2 linked regions of the Oryctolagus cuniculus genome follow. Each later gene encodes a partner of the first gene's protein in a complex. Links are inferred from orthologs where the notes say so. Each region holds a gene or a part of one and is shown in the gene's direction. Other genes may lie near its edges. The genes, in order: ORC3 and ORC5.

Region 1 (3,824 bases):
AAGAACATTTTATTTGTGGAAAAATGTCATCCCATGAGAATAACAGAGCATTAGGAATTGGTCTACCACAAATTCTGCCTCTGGGACAATGGCTGTAACTTTAATATATTACCTCTTAGGTTCATTCTATCTCTGTGACAATGGCTATAACTTTAATCTCTTTGGTTCTTCAATATTTGCTTTTGTGTAGTGGAACCATCTTGCTAGTACGTACTGTTAACTTAGTCCTATGAAGAATAATCACGTATTTTTTTAAAGAAAATCTGAGTTGTTCCATGTTTAGAGTTCTTGGGGAATTGGTACTCTGTAAGTATATTTAACAAACAGACAAATAAAAAGAAGTTCCATTCTACATTATGGCCTCTGGAGAAAATGTATAACCTAGGTGATTCAAGATAACTGCAATGTAAAACTTCAGCTTTATTTCATGATGCTGTGTAACCAGACAAGTTAGGGAAAAAATGAGGTGGTGACATTTTTCCAATTAACGTTTTTGCTACAGTCATCATGAGAGAAGTTTCATTTTGCTTCATATAGGAACTAATGCTTATTAATTCAGTCTACAATTTTAAATTTTCTGGGAATCAAACACTACTTACAGTTGATATCAGGAATCTTTAGAAGATTATATTTGGGCCAGGTGATACTTAAGGCTCATTGTTGTTGTTTATTTTGTGGGAGACACAGAGAGAGAAAGACACGAGCAGATAGAGCTTCCAACCACTGATTTACTTCACAAATGCACACAGTGGCTGGGGCCAAACCAAGACGGGGGGAATTCAGTCCAGGTCTCCCAATTACTTGAGCCATCACCATTGCCCCCAGGGTCTGTATTGGCAGAACACTGGAGTCAGGAGCCAGAGCTGTATATTGAACCCAGGTATTCCTCCAATGTGGAATGTGTATGCTAAACCAATGTCTTAACTAGGCCAAATGCCCACCCCTTAAGGTCCTTTTTAAGCCTGAAATTTCATAATAGCAGAGCAGCAAGTAGTGCTATTTTTATGCTTTCTAATTAAGAATACTAGGACTTCTTAAGCAAAACAAAATATAACTTTCTACTGGTAGAAAAATCAATTTTGAAAATTTTCTTCCCATTTTTCTTGTCATTCTTCCCAGCAAAAAATATAAATATTTTATATACACTATAAATTTTACTGCACCTTTTTCTTCTTGTTTATTATTCCCATGTTAGAATGATTCTGCTAGTAACTGTTGAAAGGAGTTTCTATTATATAGAAGAAATAAAAGAAACAATGTTACTGTGAAGTGTGAAGGGAAATATGTCAAATGTGGCACTGTAGCTTTGTTTGGGTGATAAAGCTTACTTTTTAACTCCTTCTTTCCATAATGGCTTAAAAAGAAGACAGAACCAAAAATTCCAAGCAAAAAGAGGACTACTTCTAGCCAATGGCATTCTCCTCCTGTTGTGCTTATCTTAAAAGATATGGAAAGCTTCACTACAAAAGTGCTCCAAGACTTCATACTAATGAGCAGGTATTTGGTTTGTCACCTGGGTTTTGTGCAAAATTCTTTTTTATTAAGAAAAAGTATTCCTTTTACCTTAAAAAGCATAATCTTCATTTTGAGTCCAACTGGACAAAGCTCAAAATGATACCAAATTTTTTCATTAAATGTTCAAATACATTTCAGATTTTTCATTTGCTTCTTAACTCAAGAACAGGAATCACAAACTTAGCCCATTTTTAATGAACGTGGTAAGGCAGTATAAAGTATAGTTTATTTCACCAAAGTCTGTTGTGCCTTAAATGGGATAAACTACTCCAGATGGAGATAATTTATTAGATCATTTTTTTTAAGATTTATTTATTTATTTGAAAGAGTTACACAGAGAGAGTAGGGGAGGCAGAGAGAGAGAGAGAGGTCTTCCGTCCGCTGGTTCACTCCCCAATTGGCTGTAATGGCCAGAGCTGCGCTGATCCGAAGCCAGGAGCCAGGAGCTTCTTCTGGGTCTCCCCTGTGGGTGCAGGGGCCCAAGGACTTGGGCCATCATCCACTGCTTTCCCAGGCCACAGCAGAGAGCTGGATTGCAAGTGAAGCAGCCAGGACGCGAACCCGCCCCGATATGGGATGCCGGTACTGCAGGCAGTGGCTTAACTTGCTGTGCCACAGCGCTGGCCCCAATTTACTACATCTTTATGATAACTAGGCAGTCTTAGAGGCTTTGAGTTGCACATAGCTTTACTAAGCAAGAATATTTTCCAAATAGCACTACCTTAGATTTATGTATTTCTAGTGAAAAACTGTATTTAATATATTTTGACTTTCTCTAAATGTCAACTTGGCTTAATACTTAACTCCATTTGCCTAAAACCATACTGTGTATAATATACTAACACACTTGAAATTTGTATTTTCATAGAATTTTTTTTGTCTTGACTTTAAGAGTTCTAGCTGCCAGGACTTTCCTTCATGCTAACACTGATGTGCCTACCATGCTGAGGAAGTCAACTACAAAAAATTACACTTTTTAGAGCTCAGGCTTCTGACTACTCTATCCATTAAAAGTAAAGACAAACTTAACAGGCAGAGAGTGAGGTACTTTACATCTATGAAGGTAGTACTGTGTATAGCTAAAACACTGAAAAGCAGTGGCTAACAGGAGAGAGTAATCAAAATCATTTAGTCATGATAGAGAGCTCTCTGTCTTGTAATAGTCCTCAAAGATAGTGCTGTTTTACCTCGTAGAAGTTATTTGTGTTTTTCTGGTAGTGTTAAAGTGTTCAGTTTGTTCAAGAATATGAGGAAGTGATATATCATTTTTAATGATGTCCATTAAGATGACTTTATATATGTGTAAAAAAGTTTTTTTTTTAAGATTTATTTTTTTATTTGAAAGGCAGAGTTACAGAGAGAGAGACATAGGAATATCTTCAGTTCGCTGGATCAGTACCTAAATGGCTACAACAGCCAGGACTGTGCTAAGCCAACACCAACAGCCTGGAACTCCATTCTGTCTCCATGGAGGTGGCAGGAAGCCAAGCACTTGGGCCACCCTCCACTGCTTTCCCAGGCACATTAACAGAAGGCTGGATCAGAAGTAAAGCATCCAGGACTCAACCCAGTGTTCATAGGGATGCCAGCTTTGTAGGTGGCACCTTAATCCACTGTGCTACAATGCCTACCCCAAGAAAAGTTTCCTAATCTTGGCTACTGTGACTGGATCACGAAGTGTCTATTAGAAATGCTTATAAATAGAATAAGTTGCCCTGAGTATTTAAGGAGCTCTATGTCACTGAATTATTGAAGCATAGGTTAGATGCCTAACTGTAAAGAAGATTGTAGGTATGACAGACTCTGAGGGAGAGGTTAGACTAAATGGTATCTAATATCTCTTCTAACACTTGAGATTATATAGCAGTAGTGGGGCATTTGATTTTTCTTGCCCTCTATGTTTTTATTTTTAAAATGAAAAGGAACCATTAATAGATTAATAGATTGAATTCAAAGCTAGAATGTCTTGGAAATAACTACTTCTATGTTACTTTAACAGAAGAAAATGAATGACCTAGAAAATTTTAGTATTTGGAATGATACTTGTTAGTGTCTGTGTGCAGTAAAGCTTGTCTTATCTTGTAGTACAGCATATTGAAATACGTTTACTAAAGAGATTTCACTTTTGTATCTTTCTTTGAAAACTAGTCAACATCTGCATGAATTTCCACTAATACTCATTTTTGGTATCGCCACATCTCCTATTATCATCCACCGGTTGCTTCCTCATGCAGTGTCATCTCTGTTGTGTATAGAGCTGTTCCAATCATTATCTTGCAAGGAGCACCTGACTTCAGTACTTGATAAGG
Region 2 (3,824 bases), on another chromosome or scaffold:
TCTGTGGAATTATGTATTCAGATCTTTTTGTTAACTAAATAAGCAATGAAAATCATACAGGTAAGGAATCAGTAAATCACTCAGTGTCAAAATACAGTATAGGGGCCAGCACCATGATGCATTAAGTTAATCCTCCTCCGCCTGTGGTGCCGGCATCCCATATGGGTGCCGGGTTCTAGTCTCAGTTGCTCCTCTTCCAGTCCAGCTCTCTGCTGTGGCCCGGGAGGGCAATGGAGGATGGCCCAAGTGCTTGGGCCACCTGGCTCCTGGCTTCAGATCGGCACAGCTCCGGCCGTTGCGGCCATTTGGGGGGGTGAACCAACGGAAGGAAGACTTTTCTCTCTGTCTCTCTCTCTCACTGTCTATAACTCTACCTGTCAAATACATAAAAAAAAATCTTTAAAAAATATACAGTACAGTTTATGTGGAAGACTGGTTCTAGGGTCATCCACTGCTGACCAAAACAGCTTTCTTTCTGCTTTGTTAGCCTAGGAATGCCAAAATAATATGGAGAAAATTAAAGTTTGTGTAGAGAATGCAGAGATGAATACACAAAATGTCAGCTAGCTTGTTTAGGACAATTATGGCCATGCTATAGTATGATAACAGGCTCTCTTAGTATTTTTTGTTGATATAGTAATTTCTACATATATGAATATTTCAAAAGATAAGTGTTTTGCTTAATGTTGATGTTCTAGATGATAATACTCGTAGTTTGAGCTTTTATTGTTTATTGAACATCAGTTTTACTTAGCGATTGATGTAAACATAACCTTAAGGAAAACCTTTAATGTTCCTAGTATGCGCTGTTATGGGGGATAGATATGGCATATCTATTTTCCTTTAACTGCATATTAACTTTTCTGTGGGTTGCTGAAGCTTTTTTAATGATGAGAAATGATAAGCTTTGCCTTTTTAAATTTACTGATGAAAGCTTATGATTTTTTTGAGAATTTACATAAAAGTTTTGTCTTAATTATTCAAGTAAGTGTTTTTCTTAATTTCTAAAGTAAATCTCATGTGACTATCTTAACATCCTTGAGAACAGATATATTGAATATTTGCAAGTAGATGATTAGGTTTTCTAAAATAACATACAAATGATGTGTTTTATGTTAAAATTGCACTGGAATTTAAAAATTTTTTTAGAAAGCTTGTATTTAATACATACAAATTTCATAGGTACAGCTTTAAGAAAGTAGTGGTTCTTCTCCCATACTCTCCTTCCCACCCCTCTTCCCATCCCATTTCCTACTCCCTCTCCCATCCCATTCTTCATTAAGATTCATTTTTAATTATCTTTATATACAGATGACCAGCTCTATACTAAGTAAAGATTTCAACAGTTTGCACCCACACAGACACAGAATGTATAAAGTACTGTTTGATGACAAGTTTTACTGTTATTCTGATAGTAGAATTCATTGAGAACAGAGGTCCTACATAGGGAATAAGTGCACAGTGACTCCTGTTGTTGATTTAACAATTGACACTCTTATTTATGATGTCAGCAATCACCCGAGACTCTTGTCATGAGCTGCCAAGGCTCTCACTCACAGAGATCTTTGATTTAGGTCATTTTTTTTGCCACAGTGTCTTGGCTTTCCATTCCTGAAATGCTCTCATGGGCTTTTCAGCCAGATCAGAATATCTTAAGGGCTGATTCTGAGGTCAGAGTGCTGTTTAGGGCATTTGTCATTCTAAGTCTGCTGTGTGGCCTGCTTTCCATGTAGAATCGTTCTCTCCTTTTTAATTATATTGTTATTAGCAGATAACTGATCTTATTTATATGATCCCTTTGACACTTATTCCTATCTGTATGATCAGTTACACACTTAAAATGATCACTTTAACATGTAAGATGCCATTAGTACCACCCTTCCTGGAATTTTTAAAGGAAAAATGTAAATGGAATTATTGCTTTGATTAATACTTTTAAATGCAAAGCTTTTTTTTTTTTTTTCTTTTACAGACTGACCGAAATGTGACTGTTATATTTCTCAGTGAAATTGTTTGGGAAAAGTTTCGTCCAAATACTGGATGCTTTGAACCATTTGTCTTGTATTTCCCTGATTATAGCATAGGTAAATTTTTAAAGATTGTTTTGGCAAATGATATTCAGTAGATTTAATGTTGTTTGAAAGATTAAGCTAGCGTGTTTAAAGTGGGATGTGTTCTGAACTGATAAGGTACACTGCCAATTTCAAATACAGTGTCCTTTATATTTCTGTACTATATTTTTGAAGTTATAATTTGAAACTTTGAGGAATTATTCTTGTATAAGTCCTGAAATTTTTTGAATGAGCAACTTTTATATCTTTGTGCTAACAGCATATTTTTATCATTTTTTAGTTGGTACATTAAAATATGCAGCAATTATGATATCCATACGATTAAAGTAGACTATAATGACGAAGCATACTAAAATTATATTGAAACATTTATTTATAATAAAATTGGGTTAAAATACCATGTGTAATATATCTTTTGATTTTGTGAATCTTGTTTTTCATTCTTGTAACTTTTGTAGTACCAGCCACTAACTCTTAAATGTCTTTTTTAGGGGGTTGAATTTAAACTTAGATTTCATAGATCTTGATTAATTCTGTCTTTGTAAGAACACATTAGCTCTTTGTGTTGCTAAATAGCTTTGTAGATTACTACTCTGTTGTCAGTATACAAGTGTAAAACTTCTGATTCAAAGATTATAACTGTGAAGTGTGTATGAAAAAATAACATCCCTTGCCTTGTTGATGAACAGTATTATTCTTGTTTGTTTTTGTGCTTTTTTTTTTCTTCATACTATTCGGTGAACTCTCTACTTAGGGGGTTAACCTTTTTAGTATAAAATTAATTGAAAATTGATCTCAGTAAAAAATAAGAATGGTAAAGGGAGAGGGAGGAGGAAGAAAGGTGGGAGAATAGGTGGGAGGGAAGTGGGGGGGGGGGAGAATCACCATGTTCCCAAATTTGTTTATATTAAATGCATGAAGTTGTATTCCTTAAACAAAATTAAAGAAAAAAATAGCATCAGCCGGCACCGCAACTCAATAGGCTAATCCTCCACCTGCGGCACTGGCACCCCAGGTTCCAGTCCTGGTCGGGGCGCCAGACTCTGTCCCGGTTGTTCCTCTTCCAGTCCAGCTCTTTGCTGTGGCCAGGGAGTGCAGTGGAGGATGGCCCAAGTGCTTGGGCCCTGCACCCCATGGGAGACCAGGAGAAGCACCTGGCTCCTGCCTTCGGATCATTGCGGTGTGCCGGCTGCAGCATGCTGGCCGCAGCGGCCATTGGGGGGTGAACCAATGGCAAAAGGAAGACCTTTTTCTCTGTCTCTCTCACTCTCACTGTCCACTCTGCCTGTCAAAAAGAAAAAAGAAAAAAATAGCATCCCATGACGCTGGCCTCACTACCACTACCCCTCTGGATTTATCTTTTGTAAATATTCATTGTTAAGATCAACACATTTTTGCCTATTTTCACAAGAACAACAGGCAAGTATCACCTCCTGTCCTAGCTAATTAATTGATTTTTTTTAAGTTACCCAAAATAGAAAAGGGGAATCCTTATTTTCAATAACGTCTCATCCATGGGGGGAAAAATCACAGAATCAAAGGATTTAATTTTTTAATTTAATTTTATTTATTTATTTGAGAGGTAGAGTTACAGACAGTGAGAGGGAGAAACAAAGAGAAAGGTCTTCCATCCGCTAGTTCACTCCCCCAATGGCCGCAGCAGCCAGAGTTGTGCAGATCAGGAGTCAGGAGCTTCTTCCAGGTCTCCCATGCAGGTGCGGGGGCCCAAGTGCCTGAGCCATCTTCCACTGC

The links.
Region 2: the proteins of ORC3 (region 1) and ORC5 are in contact, whole or in part, in a cryo-EM structure (PDB 7JPO), measured with the Homo sapiens proteins. The link is inferred for Oryctolagus cuniculus from reciprocal best matches to the Homo sapiens genes ORC3 and ORC5. Residues at the interface, in NP_036513.2 of Homo sapiens: Glu99, Val109, Met144, Lys145, Leu148, His178, Ser180, Met181, Asp182, Glu223, Asp232, Ile235, Ile236, Gln239, His240, Ala253, Thr254, Ser255, Pro256, Ile257, Ile258, Ile259, Arg261, His265, Ser269, Cys272, Ile273, Glu274, Leu275, Ser280; in NP_002544.1 of Homo sapiens: Asn62, Val64, Glu65, Phe67, Thr68, Arg70, Leu71, Gln75, Tyr129, Leu270, Arg271, Ser274, Ser275, Ser276, Gln277, Leu294, His297, Thr298, His299, Val300, Glu301, Leu302, Pro303, Tyr304, Tyr305, Ser306, Asp360, Tyr367, Arg373, Pro376.

The regions. Positions count from the first base shown.
Region 1 is NC_091436.1:84,931,357-84,935,180, reverse strand, and holds part of ORC3 (origin recognition complex subunit 3), read left to right. Parts: intron 1-1,363; coding exon 1,364-1,497; intron 1,498-3,663; coding exon 3,664-3,823; intron 3,824-3,824. UniProt on the Homo sapiens protein: Component of the origin recognition complex (ORC) that binds origins of replication. DNA-binding is ATP-dependent. The specific DNA sequences that define origins of replication have not been identified yet.
Region 2 is NC_091434.1:140,254,911-140,258,734, forward strand, and holds part of ORC5 (origin recognition complex subunit 5), read left to right. Parts: intron 1-1,972; coding exon 1,973-2,084; intron 2,085-3,824. UniProt on the Homo sapiens protein: Component of the origin recognition complex (ORC) that binds origins of replication. DNA-binding is ATP-dependent. The specific DNA sequences that define origins of replication have not been identified yet.